Linked DNA regions of Callithrix jacchus. The protein of the gene in region 3 interacts with the protein of the main gene of each other region in a pairwise test. Links are inferred from orthologs where the notes say so. Each region holds a gene or a part of one and is shown on either strand. Other genes may lie near its edges. The genes, in order: OGT, AGR2 and NUP62CL.

Region 1 (3,654 bases), about 35 Mb from region 3:
TACCAGGGAAAAAAATTAACCAAGAAATTATTTCCAGATTACCTAAAGGTAAAACATGCTATTTTATTTTAGTTCTATGGGTTAAGAGCCAGTGACAGCTATCTAATATCCCACTTATGCAAACTTGTCTGATGAACTAAGAGATAATCGTATGTATAGATCGACTCCTTCTTGGTTAGAACTCTACAATACTACAAGAATGTTAAACATGGGTGGATGTACATGACAGTATATGCTATCAGTTTAGACCAGGGGTTGGCGAACTACACAGCCTGTGAGCCAAATATGGCATACTGACATTTCACACAAATACAATGTTATTAGAACACAGCCACACTCATCATTTACAAAATGCCTATGGTATTTTCATGCTACAATGGCAAAGCTGAGTAGATGTGAGACAGTATGGGCCACAAAACTGAAAATATTTACCATCTGGCCCTTTAAGAAAAAGTTTGCTGACCCTTTAGACAGAAGAACACTTTGAATATGTACATTTAAAAGGTTCACAATGACATGTTGAGACTTTGGAACCAAAATGCCTGAAAAATCTATAACTCTTGAAGATTATAAATGAGCACAAGGCCAGGCTTGGTGGCTCACACATGTAATCCTAGCACTTTACAAGGCCGAGGCAGGCAGATTTCCTCAGGCTGGGAGTTCAAGACCAGCCTGGCCAACATGGTGAAACCCTGTCTCTACTAAAAACACACAAAAAAGTACCCAGGCATGGTGGCACATGCTGAGGCACAAGAATCACTTGAATCTGGGATGCAAAGGTTGCCATGAGCCAAGATCACACCACTACACTCCAACCTGAACAACAGAGTGAGATTCTGTTTTTTTTTTTTTAAAAAAAGAGCACAACCCAGTTGAGTCACATGTAAATAAATAAAATGATTTTTTAAAAAAAGGTTCTATCCATTTATTTGAGACAGAGTTTCCCTCTTGTTGCCCAGGCTGGAGTACAATGGTGTGATCTTGGCTCACTGCAACCTCCACCTGCTGGGTTCAAGGGATTCTTCTCCTGCCTCGGCCTCCTGAGTATCTGAGATTACAGGTGCCTACCACCACACCTAGCTAATTTTTTGGTATTTTTAATAGAGACAGGATTTCACAATGTTGGTAAGGCTGGTCTCAAACTCCTGACCTCAAGTGATCCGCCTGCCTTGGCCTCCCAAAGTGCTCAGATTACAGGCATGAGCCACTGCACCTGGCCAAAAAAAAGTTTTAAAAATAAATGAGCAGAACAGCTCCTAAATGGGAGTGGAAGGACCATCTTCAACAAGCAGCTCTGTATACAAAATCCTTATTTCTTAGTCTCTGAGACAGTAACAATGAGTCTATGCATACTCACATTTGCCCACATCTGCAAAGTAGAAGGGTCAATTTTATACAACTGATTAAAGTTACAGTATACAATGGCATCTTCTGGTAACCCGTACTGAGAACGGGTGGTTACGATAATGGTACGGGGAACCTCCTCTCCAGTTGCAGCCTTATTGTTGATCTAGAACAAGGAAAGGATGATGGTTACATTTAAAGGCAAAAGGAGTCCAATATTCAATCCATAAGATCCAAAATGGTATAACCATTAAGTCCCTGAATCATGAGAAAATATTCATGATACATGAAATTTAAGAAAAGGCAAACAGTTGCAGCATGATCTTAATTTGGGGGAGACTGCACTATGAAACTTCTTGCTTTAACCAAAAAAAGGTCTCAAGAGCCTATTAACAATCCAACAGTTTTGATCACTCTTTTCTTTATGAATGAAATGTCCTTTTCTAAATCACATCTACTCTTCAAGGCTAAATAAATTACTCCTCCAAAAAGAAATTACTCTTCTTCCAAGAGTGTCTCTCTTCACATCGATCATCGCCATTTCTGGGCTTCTACCTACATAATTAGTCTTATCTTGTAATTCTCACACATCTGAGTACTGCCTTACATTGCTACATAACTATTCCAGGTATGCAAAGACATCTATGACCTCTAGAGGCCAGAGATCTTTCTTTGCCTTATACACTCTTGATAGAGCTACTTATTTAAGCATGCAATATATTATTTATTGAGTACATACTACATTACTGTTTTTAAGAGATGGGCCCAGTAATTCAATTCAGTAGAGGATACAAACACAGGGAATTATCATCTGTTGTGCTGTATGTAATGATATATTCCAAACATAGCAGAGGCATAGAAGACAGGTACCAATGAAGTAGGGGTGGAGACATTAGTGGTAAGTACGGAAATGGATTCCTGGAAGAGCTGTCTGAACTGAATGTCTGAGTAGGATTTAGCTAGGGAAAGAATGAGTTTACAAAAGCAAGAAACTGTACAGTATCTACAGATAGTTCATCATATGATAAGAGAGTAAAGCCACAGGCAGGGAATAACAACATGGTATTAACACAGCAGATTCTCAGTAAGTAATAATCTGCTGGCTGAACCCGGGAGACTTTTAAAATCAGACAAACCTACATAAGATGCCTGTTTACACTAAACTCATTTCCTCATCTATAAAATGGTGATAATGATACTTGCCTCCTACAGTTATCCTTTTTTTTTTTTTTTTAAGAGAAGGAAAGAGAAAAAAGGAATGAAGGAGAGGAAGAAAGGAAGAAAAAGAGGGAGAACGGAAATGTTGCTTTATTCTAAAAAATGGGTATTAATAATGGCCAATCAATATTTCATTTAAACCTATGAGTAGGTGTGATGTGGTATTGACAAGAATGTATATTTTGTGTATTTAAAGTGGAGAGCTCTATAAATATTTATTAAGTTTACTTGTTCCGGATCTGAGTTAGAGTCCTGGATATCCTTATTAATTTTCTGTCTCATGGAGTCTAAGTCTCTATGTAACTGGGTGTTAGGATTGTTAGCTCTTATTGTTGCATTTATCCTTTTACCACTATATCTTTGTTGCTTTAAAATCTATTTTATCAGATGCGAGAATTTCAACTCCTGCTTTTTATTTATTTATTTATTTTTGCTCTCCATTTGGTTGGTAAATCTTTCTCCATCCCTTTGAGTCTTTGTGTATCCTTGCATGTGAAATGGGTCTGGATGTAGCATACCGTTGGGTTTTGGCTGTATCTTTTGATTGGGGGATTTAGTCAATTTAAATTTAGGATCACTGCCATTTGATGTTAACTGGCTGTTTTATCCATTCATTGATGTAAATTCTTCTTTATGTTGATGCTCTTTACTTTTTGGTATATTTTTAGAAAGGCTAATACTGGTCGTTTCTTTCTATGTGTATCCTCCTACAGTTATCATGAGGTTTAAAGGAAATAAATGCAAAGTTGGTGGGACATATAATCGTGTATTATCTTCTCACCTGAGTAGTTGCCAGTCCATTGCTAATACTGAATCCATTAATTGTTATTTGAATCTGTCCTCTGTTAATCATTTCAATAACTGCTTCTGCAATAGTATTCATAGGAATAACAGGCATATTAAGAGCTGTGTTACTGCTGTCTGCATTGTCTCCTCCATCAGGACACTTCATCTAAAAGAAACACACACACAAAATGCATCATTAGGGGAAAGATCCTGAATGCAGTTAACTTTATTTCAATGATAGTTATTGAAATATTGACTAGGTTCTGACCTTGACAATCTTCACATCTGGTAGACTATCAAGAAATG
Region 2 (4,202 bases), on a different chromosome or scaffold from region 3:
CTACAGGTAAATGCCACCATACTTGGCTATTTGTGTGTGTGTGTGTGTTTTAGTAGAGATGGAGTATTGTCACGTTTCCCAGGCTGGTCTCAAACTTCTAGGCTCAAGCCACTTGCCTGCCTTGGCCTCCCAAAGTGCTGGAATTACAGGCATGAGTCACTCTGCCCAGCCTCACATTTTAACTTTATATTTAAAAAATAAAGTACTAGAAGGCAGGTTAGGGGTTACCCCCTCTTTTCTCACCTCCCCAGTGCTTCACTGTATGGATGAAGAATCTGAAGTTCAAAGAGAGAAAGATTTGTGAGATGGCTTCAGAACAAAGCCTTCTGGATCTTGTTATCTTGCAGTGCTAGCTCCTATCTCCCCTCCCTGAAACAATTATCCTAAATGTACACACTTCTCAAACCTTCAGTTAAATGGGGACATTGCCATTGAAGAAGAAGATATGAATAAAATGGTTCTTCATTTAGAACGTGCCAACTGTGTCACTTATCTGAAGGCTACCTATACAACTCTCTCCCTAGCATAACATTTACTCAAACTCTGTATTAGCTCTGGGTTAACTAAGACACACCAATGTAATGTTCTTTCCATCGAAACAACTCTTTGACCCTCCTTATGGGCCTGTATAGGTAGGTGATGGTGGGCATACAAGTTAGTGCACGGAAGTATTTGGTGCAATTTATAACAGAGAAATAAGCCCCAAGCGTCTCTCTCTCTCTCTCTCTCTCTCTTCTTTAAATAGTCTTGCTCTGTCACCCAGGCTGGAGTGCAGTGACACAATCACAGCTCAACACAGCCTTCAGGTGATTCTCATGCCTCAGCCTTTCAAGTGGCTGGGACTGCAGGCATGTGTCACCATGCCTATCTAATTTTGTAGCAGAGTGTTTCACCATGTTGGCCAGGCTGGTCTTAAACTCCTGACCTCAAGCGATCTGCCTGTCTCAGCCTCCCAAAGTGCTGGGATTACGGGCATGAGCCACCACGACCAGCCAATATCTTAGTTAAATTACTTTTTTTAATGCTATTCCATAGTTGATTCCCAGGAAAAGCTAAAGCCTTTTAACAGGAAAGTAAATGACAAGATAAGTTTTGTGAGTGAAAAGGAAGGGAGGAAGGGAGGGAGCAAAGTGAGTTGCTCTAGCAAGTCACTAAGATCATCCAAGGGGCTGTAACATGGAAGGCTGGAGACTTGGGATTCTGGTAAAGGCAAATACTGCAAGGGCTAAAAGGGAAATGTGAAACCACAGGACCTGATTCTAGTATTGCTGTAGGTTTTGAATGAACTCAAACTCTGCAAAGGAATTAGTAATTTTAAGAGAGAAGTTTTTCATAATCTCCTATCTTTAGTGGAAACCTTTGCTAAGCATGAGCTGATTTTTTTTAAAGGTGTTGCAAAGTTACCAGATCGAAATGACACTTTGTATTTAACTGACCAATTATTAACAAATTCATAGAACATAAATACAAAATGTCTTAGAAAGATTTGAGCAAAAATCAGGGATATACTTTGTTCATTTTCTATACCCATAAAGATGTGGAAATGCCAATACAACTTTTGTCTTCTAGAGTTTTGCAAAAACAACTCAAATGTACACTGTACATCAATAATTCTCAGCCCTCTTTGTATAAAAACTTCTTTTTAATGTTAAAAAATCAAGAACTTTTACACGAGAATAATTATACTTTTTGAATCTATAAACAAACATTTGACTTTTACTTTTATGCATAACAGCATCTATGAATATTCTAAAAAATAGTAAATTGATGGTACAACATTTTTATTTACTTAGCCCATTTACAGTTCTTGTTGTACAAGTAGCTACTCGGACCCCTTGTAATATCTCCAAAGATTACAGGTTGGAACTATTGATATATTGCTTGTGTTTTATGGCAGGATGGCTCAAGGAAGGCTAATATAACTCCTGCTACACAAACATCCTGCTCTGGGGTGACGTTCTGAGATTCACTCTACGGAGTTTTTATATGAATAGATTCTGCTCTGCAAACTTCCTGCATAAACCACCTCAAAACAATTCCAACCATGAAAGATATTGATAATTTGGAGACACACAGACACACACACACAGACACACACACACACACACACACACACAAATGTGAAGCCAGCACTTTCCACTTGTCATCCTGTCTCTGTCTTGCCTTTTGCAAAGAATGACCGTGCAAGAAATTTCAGTGTCCTTGTTTGTAAATGCTTCAGGAAAGCAACCAGATCTCTCCTCTCCTCTAATAGCCTATCCCATGAATTTAAAAATTGCAGACACAACAAGGATATCTGCACCAAAGAGAGAAAGAAAACTGTTTTTTGATTTGCAGTAATATATTACAAGTAGGCAATCCGAGCTGAGGTGTCACAGTGGAGAGGCCTACAGGGCTTTGCTTTAGCCCGTGGGAAAGAAGCAGAGCTTTAGATGATGACTGAGACGAAAATCCCTGGACCCTGTCCCAGGCTTGAAAAATCCTAGGATTCACCCACTCTTGGAAATTTTGTTTCCGAAGGAAGAAAGCATTCCTTTGAATGAACTTGGGAACGTCACACTGTGCCAGCTCTAGCCAAAGAAAGGCCCCAGTGAGCCTTTGGTAGAAATTCCATGATTCCCTCTCCAAATCCTACTTCATTGCCCTTGGAAACTTGCACTTCTCTGTTGCTTGATTGCCTACAACTTTATACAGTAATCAGAGGCCAAAAGTCACTCCAGCAGGTGCCCTTCTAAAGCTGCTATCAGGAGCCTTACCTGGATTTCCTCACCCACCTGCCTCGTGTGAGCCGGCAGCTAGGATTCGGTCCAAGCTTCTGAGTGTGCCAGCACAGCTGAGCCTCTATTTATGCACCAGGGCACACCTCAATCCCACCCACTAGTGCTGTATTTACTTGTTGCTAACTCAGAAACGATCCTTTCTTTTCCCACATGATTGTCTTTCCTGGGTTAAAGAGTTCCTTGTTTTTAAAAATAACGTTTCAAAAGCATGCTTTTCAGTATGCATGTTTTTAACTGTTTGTGAAGTACATTGTTAAGAGGTTTTGAAACGATGGGCAGAGTGCCAAATCCAGGTAGACTTTGAATGAAGACATTTGATTTGCCTGAAGGCTGATTTGTCTTTATGTGATTGGATGGAGTTTGTAGTTAGTAGTTTTTTTTTTTTTTTTCTCCGCCCTGTATAGATTGCCTTTATTTACTTGAAAACACACAAGAGATGATTCACAATTCTGATCCTCACAGTCATATAACCTGCCATACTCCATTATGATAAAAATTATTTTCGATAATACTTCCCCACTCCTGTCAAAAAAATGCACCCGAACTACTACATGTATGAAAAACAAAACAAAACAAAACAAATCAAGTAACCCACATAATAATTCAAAACTGAGGAAGTGTTGGGAAAAAAAAACCAGCCTGATACTGCCAGCCTGTAGTAATTGCCTTGCCACAGAATGTGTGCAGCAACTTCCCTCCAAAGAGTTCAAAGGTATTTCACAGATAATCTTACTTGAAGACAAATGTTCCTGAAAGGCAATCAGGAAGCCATTTCCTCCATTTTTTCAGACCTAAAACCTAAGGTCTGTAACTATTTTTTTTTCCATTCAAGATTTATTTAATTACTCCGTGAAGATTTTAAAACTGGGATTTCAATTTTCTCTCTGAAAATTTTTAATCCTGTATCTTGTTTGTGAAGTTGTGAGCAGTCTTTAAAAGCGCAGAATGGAAAATATTTTAACAACAGAAAGTTAACTGGGCTGCAAGCCCTATATAAATGACTTTTAAAAATGAGTTAAGGTTGGCCAGGCTCAGTGGCTCATGCCTGTAATCCCAGTACTTTGGGAGGCTGATGAGGTGGGTGGATCACAAGGTCAGGAGATCGAGACCATCCTGGCCAACATGGTCAAACCCATTCTCAACTGAAAATACAAAAATTAGCCGGGCATGATGGTATGCACCTGTAGTCCCAGCTACTCGGGATGCTGAGGCAGGAGAATCGCTTGAACGTGGGAGGTGGCAGTTGCGGCCAGCCGAGAGTGTGCCATTGCACTTCAGCCCGGGTGACAAGAGCAAAACTCAGTCCCAAAAAACAAACAAACAAATAAATAAATAAAATAAAGTAAAATAAAATGAGTAAAGATCATAATATTTCAAAAACATTTGAAAGTATGTATGTTTTTCCAATAAATCTTTGAATTC
Region 3 (3,654 bases):
GTTTGTTGCCTTTCTCCCCTTCACCTATATCTGGCATTTCTCCCCATGCTATCTCTCCCCAACTCCCCACCCCCCACTGTCCCTCCCCTATTTCCCCCCAACAGACCCCAGTGTATAGTGCTCCCCTCCCTGTGTCCATGTGTTCTCATCATTCATCACCCGCCTATGAGTGAGAACATGCAGTGTTTGATTTTCTATTCTTGTGTCAGTTTGCTGAGACTGATGGTTTCCAGGTTCATCCACTTCCCTACAAAGACACAAACTCATCGTTTTTGATGGCTACATAATATTCCATGGTGTATATGGGCCACATTTTCCCTGTCCAGTCTATCATCGATGGGCGTTTGGGTTGGTTCCAGGTCTTTGCTATTGTAAACAGTGCTGCAATGAACATTCGTGTGCATGTGTCCTTAAAGTAGAATGATTTATAGTCCTTTGGATATATACCCAGTAATGGGATTGCTGGGTCAAATGGAATTTCTATTTCTAGGTCCTTGAGGAATTGCCACACTGTCTTCCACAATGGTTGAACTAATTTACACTCCCACCAACAGTATAAAAGTGTTCCTATTTCTCCATATCCAGATCATTTTTATAGAGCCAATATTACCCTGATACCAAAGCTAGAGGCATAAAAAAAGAAGAAAACTACAGACTATTAGTTCTCATGAACTTAGATACGGAAGTCCTTATAGCACCAGGAAACCAAATTTTTAAAAATGTATCAAAAATTATACACCATGATCAAGTGGGATTTATTTCTCATATGCAGGGCTGGTTAAACATCTAAAAATCAATCAGTGTAATCCACCACTTCACCAAGATAAAGAAAAAAATCTTAAAAGACTTTATCAATTGAGGCTGAAAAAGCATTTGACACAAATTGATTTTTGACAAAGGTGTGAAAGCAATTCAGGGGGAAGATAGCCTTTCAATAAATGATGTTGGAAAAACTTGACATCCACAGACAAAAATAAATTAATCTTGACCTAAACCTCACACCTTATATAAAAATTGACTCAAAATGGATCACAAGCTTAAATGTAAAATGTGAAACTATAAAACTTTAGAAAAAAATAGAAGAAAATCTTTGGGATCTAGGGCTAATACAGGATTTATTATAATTGACACTAAAAGCACAATTCATTAAATGAAAATGTAATAAATTATAACTCACCAATTAAAAGTTTTTATTCAGCAAAAGGACCCTGTTAAGAGGATAAAAAGCCAAGTTACACAGTTAAAGAATATACTTAAAAGCCACATATCTGACAAAAGACTGGTATCTAGAGTATATAACAAACTCTCCAGACTAAACAGTAAAAAATCAAATAATCCAAGTAGAAAATGGACAAAAGATATGAATAGACATTTCACCAAAGAGGATCCACTGATGGCAAATAAACATGTGAAAAGATATTCAACATCATTAGTCATCAGGGAAATGCAAATTAAAACCACAATGAGATATCACTTCACATCTGTCAGAAGGGCTAAAATATAAAGTAGTGACAACACCAAATCCTGGCAAGAATGTAGACAATCTGAATCACCCATACGTTGCTAGTGGGCGTGTAAAATGGCACAGTACTCTGGTAAAGAACTTGACAGTTTCTTAAAAAAGCAAAACAAAACCAAAAAACAACATGTAACTACCACATCACCCAACAACTGTACTCCTAGGCATTTATCCCAGAGGAATGAGACTTATATTCCTAAAAAACCTGTACACTAATGTTCACGTCACTTTTTTCATAATAGCCAAAAAACTGGAAACAACCTATATGTCCATCAACAGGTGAATGGATAAATAAACCATTGTGCATCCACAATGCCAGGGAATACTACTCAGAAATAAAAAAGAACAAACTATTGATGCACGTGACAACTTGGGTGGATCAGAAGGAATTATGCTGAATTAAGAAATCCAATCCCCAAAGGTCACATATGTATAACTCTATCTGTACAACACTCTTAAAATGTCAAGATTATAGAAATAGAAAACAGATTAATTGTTGCTCAGAGTCAAGGAAAGGAAGAGAGTGGGGGTGGCTACACAAGGGCAACAGGAGGAATCCTTGTAGTGATAGAACTGTTCTGTATTTGACTGTAGCAATATTAATATCTTGGTTGTGATATTATACTATAGTACTGTTAAGATGTTATCATTGGATGAAATGATATAAAGACCATATAGAATATTGTGTATTATTTCTTACATATACATGTGACTCTACAATTATCTCAAAATAAAATGTTTAATTTAAAAAATGAACAAATACTAGAGAGAAGCATGGTATACAGGCTCCAGAACTTGACTGTCTGAATTTTAATCCTGACTCAACCATTAACAAGTATGCAACTATGAGTATATTACAAAATCTCTAAATGCTCTTCTTTTCTCATCTATAAAATGGGAACGAAAATAGTGCCTACCTCATAGGGTTACTGTGAGGATAAATGACATGATGCTTGTAATGCACTGTCATCTTGCTAAACATAAGTAATTACATAATAAGTGGTAGCTATTATTAGTAATAGTAATGATTATATTATAACAATATTCAGAAGGCAAGGCATGCTGTTGGTTGTTCAAATTCCTAAACTACAGAAATCTTTCTCTAACTGTTCCCTCAACTTGGTCATGTAGCTAACTTTCAAATATTCTAAAGCTATCCAAGCAAATGTCTTGTACATGATAAATAAAATAAAACACATGCAAATTTTCAAATAAATAGGCTTACCTAACAGTTGAAATATAAGGTACACGGTTTTCAAACCCTCCTGATGACAGTTGTTGGTTCACAGTAAAGCCACTGGTGACTGTGGTAATAGTGGTGGTGGTGACTGTGGTGGTGGCAGTCGTTGAAGTTGTAACTGGAAAATAAACTGTATAATGTTAGTAAGAAATGAGAAATTTGTTTTATTTAAGCCTTGATCATTCAGATTTAAAATTATGGAGGCATTTTTAAACATACAAATTGGAACTCAAAGTTGTGGATTTGAACTCAACACTGTTGTAATATGAAATAATATATGGCAGGCCAGGTACCTAAATTAACTTTCCAGTTGAAAACTAAAACTCATGGATAAATTCATAGAAAAATAAAACTTCTAAGTCGCCCAATAACTGGGTAAATCAATCCTCAAAATTCTTCTAATAAAGAAAATTCTAGTCCCAGATGCCATTGTTGGTAAGTTTTACTAAACTTTCAAGAAAAGAATAATTGCAATTTATAAAAGATCTCTGTACATCTATATCTTTGCATACTTACATGACTGTACCTGTGTAATTAATTCCTAGAAATAAAATTTATAGATCAAAGTGTCAGCATGCTCTAAATTTTAACATAACTTGCCAAATTGCCCTATCTAAATAATTTTGCCAATTTATGTCCCTATCAATAGAAAAGAGTGCCTATTTCTCTATATCACAGCCAATACTAGGCATACATTTTTGCAAACCCTAGGAAAAAGCTTCTCAAACTTTTATCTACAGCCAAGACCTCTCTCCTATGTCTTTTTCGGTTACACCTCTATTAGAATGTCCTGCTCTCCATAGATAAAATCCTAAGCATACTTCATGGCTTGACTCAAATTCTTTGTTCCCCATATTTATCACCCACTTCTCTCCTACTTATAATTTTCTTTTGG

What was found.
Region 1: the proteins of NUP62CL (region 3) and OGT interact in binary tests that used the Homo sapiens proteins (3 or more experiments, as listed by UniProt). The two-hybrid records come from large-scale screens. The link is inferred for Callithrix jacchus from reciprocal best matches to the Homo sapiens genes NUP62CL and OGT.
Region 2: the proteins of NUP62CL (region 3) and AGR2 interact in binary tests that used the Homo sapiens proteins (3 or more experiments, as listed by UniProt). The two-hybrid records come from large-scale screens. The link is inferred for Callithrix jacchus from reciprocal best matches to the Homo sapiens genes NUP62CL and AGR2.

What each region holds. Positions count from the first base shown.
Region 1 is NC_133524.1:68,853,368-68,857,021, reverse strand, and holds part of OGT (UDP-N-acetylglucosamine--peptide N-acetylglucosaminyltransferase 110 kDa subunit), read right to left. Parts: coding exon 3,617-3,654; intron 3,515-3,616; coding exon 3,344-3,514; intron 1,511-3,343; coding exon 1,358-1,510; intron 1-1,357. UniProt on the Homo sapiens protein: Catalyzes the transfer of a single N-acetylglucosamine from UDP-GlcNAc to a serine or threonine residue in cytoplasmic and nuclear proteins resulting in their modification with a beta-linked N-acetylglucosamine (O-GlcNAc).
Region 2 is NC_133512.1:41,650,147-41,654,348, reverse strand, and holds the start of AGR2 (anterior gradient protein 2 homolog), read right to left. Parts: upstream 2,822-4,202; 5' UTR 2,775-2,821; exon of another isoform or gene 2,757-2,774; intron 1-2,756. UniProt on the Homo sapiens protein: Required for MUC2 post-transcriptional synthesis and secretion. May play a role in the production of mucus by intestinal cells. Proto-oncogene that may play a role in cell migration, cell differentiation and cell growth. Promotes cell adhesion.
Region 3 is NC_133524.1:103,715,060-103,718,713, forward strand, and holds part of NUP62CL (nucleoporin-62 C-terminal-like protein), read right to left. Parts: intron 2,878-3,654; coding exon 2,745-2,877; intron 1-2,744.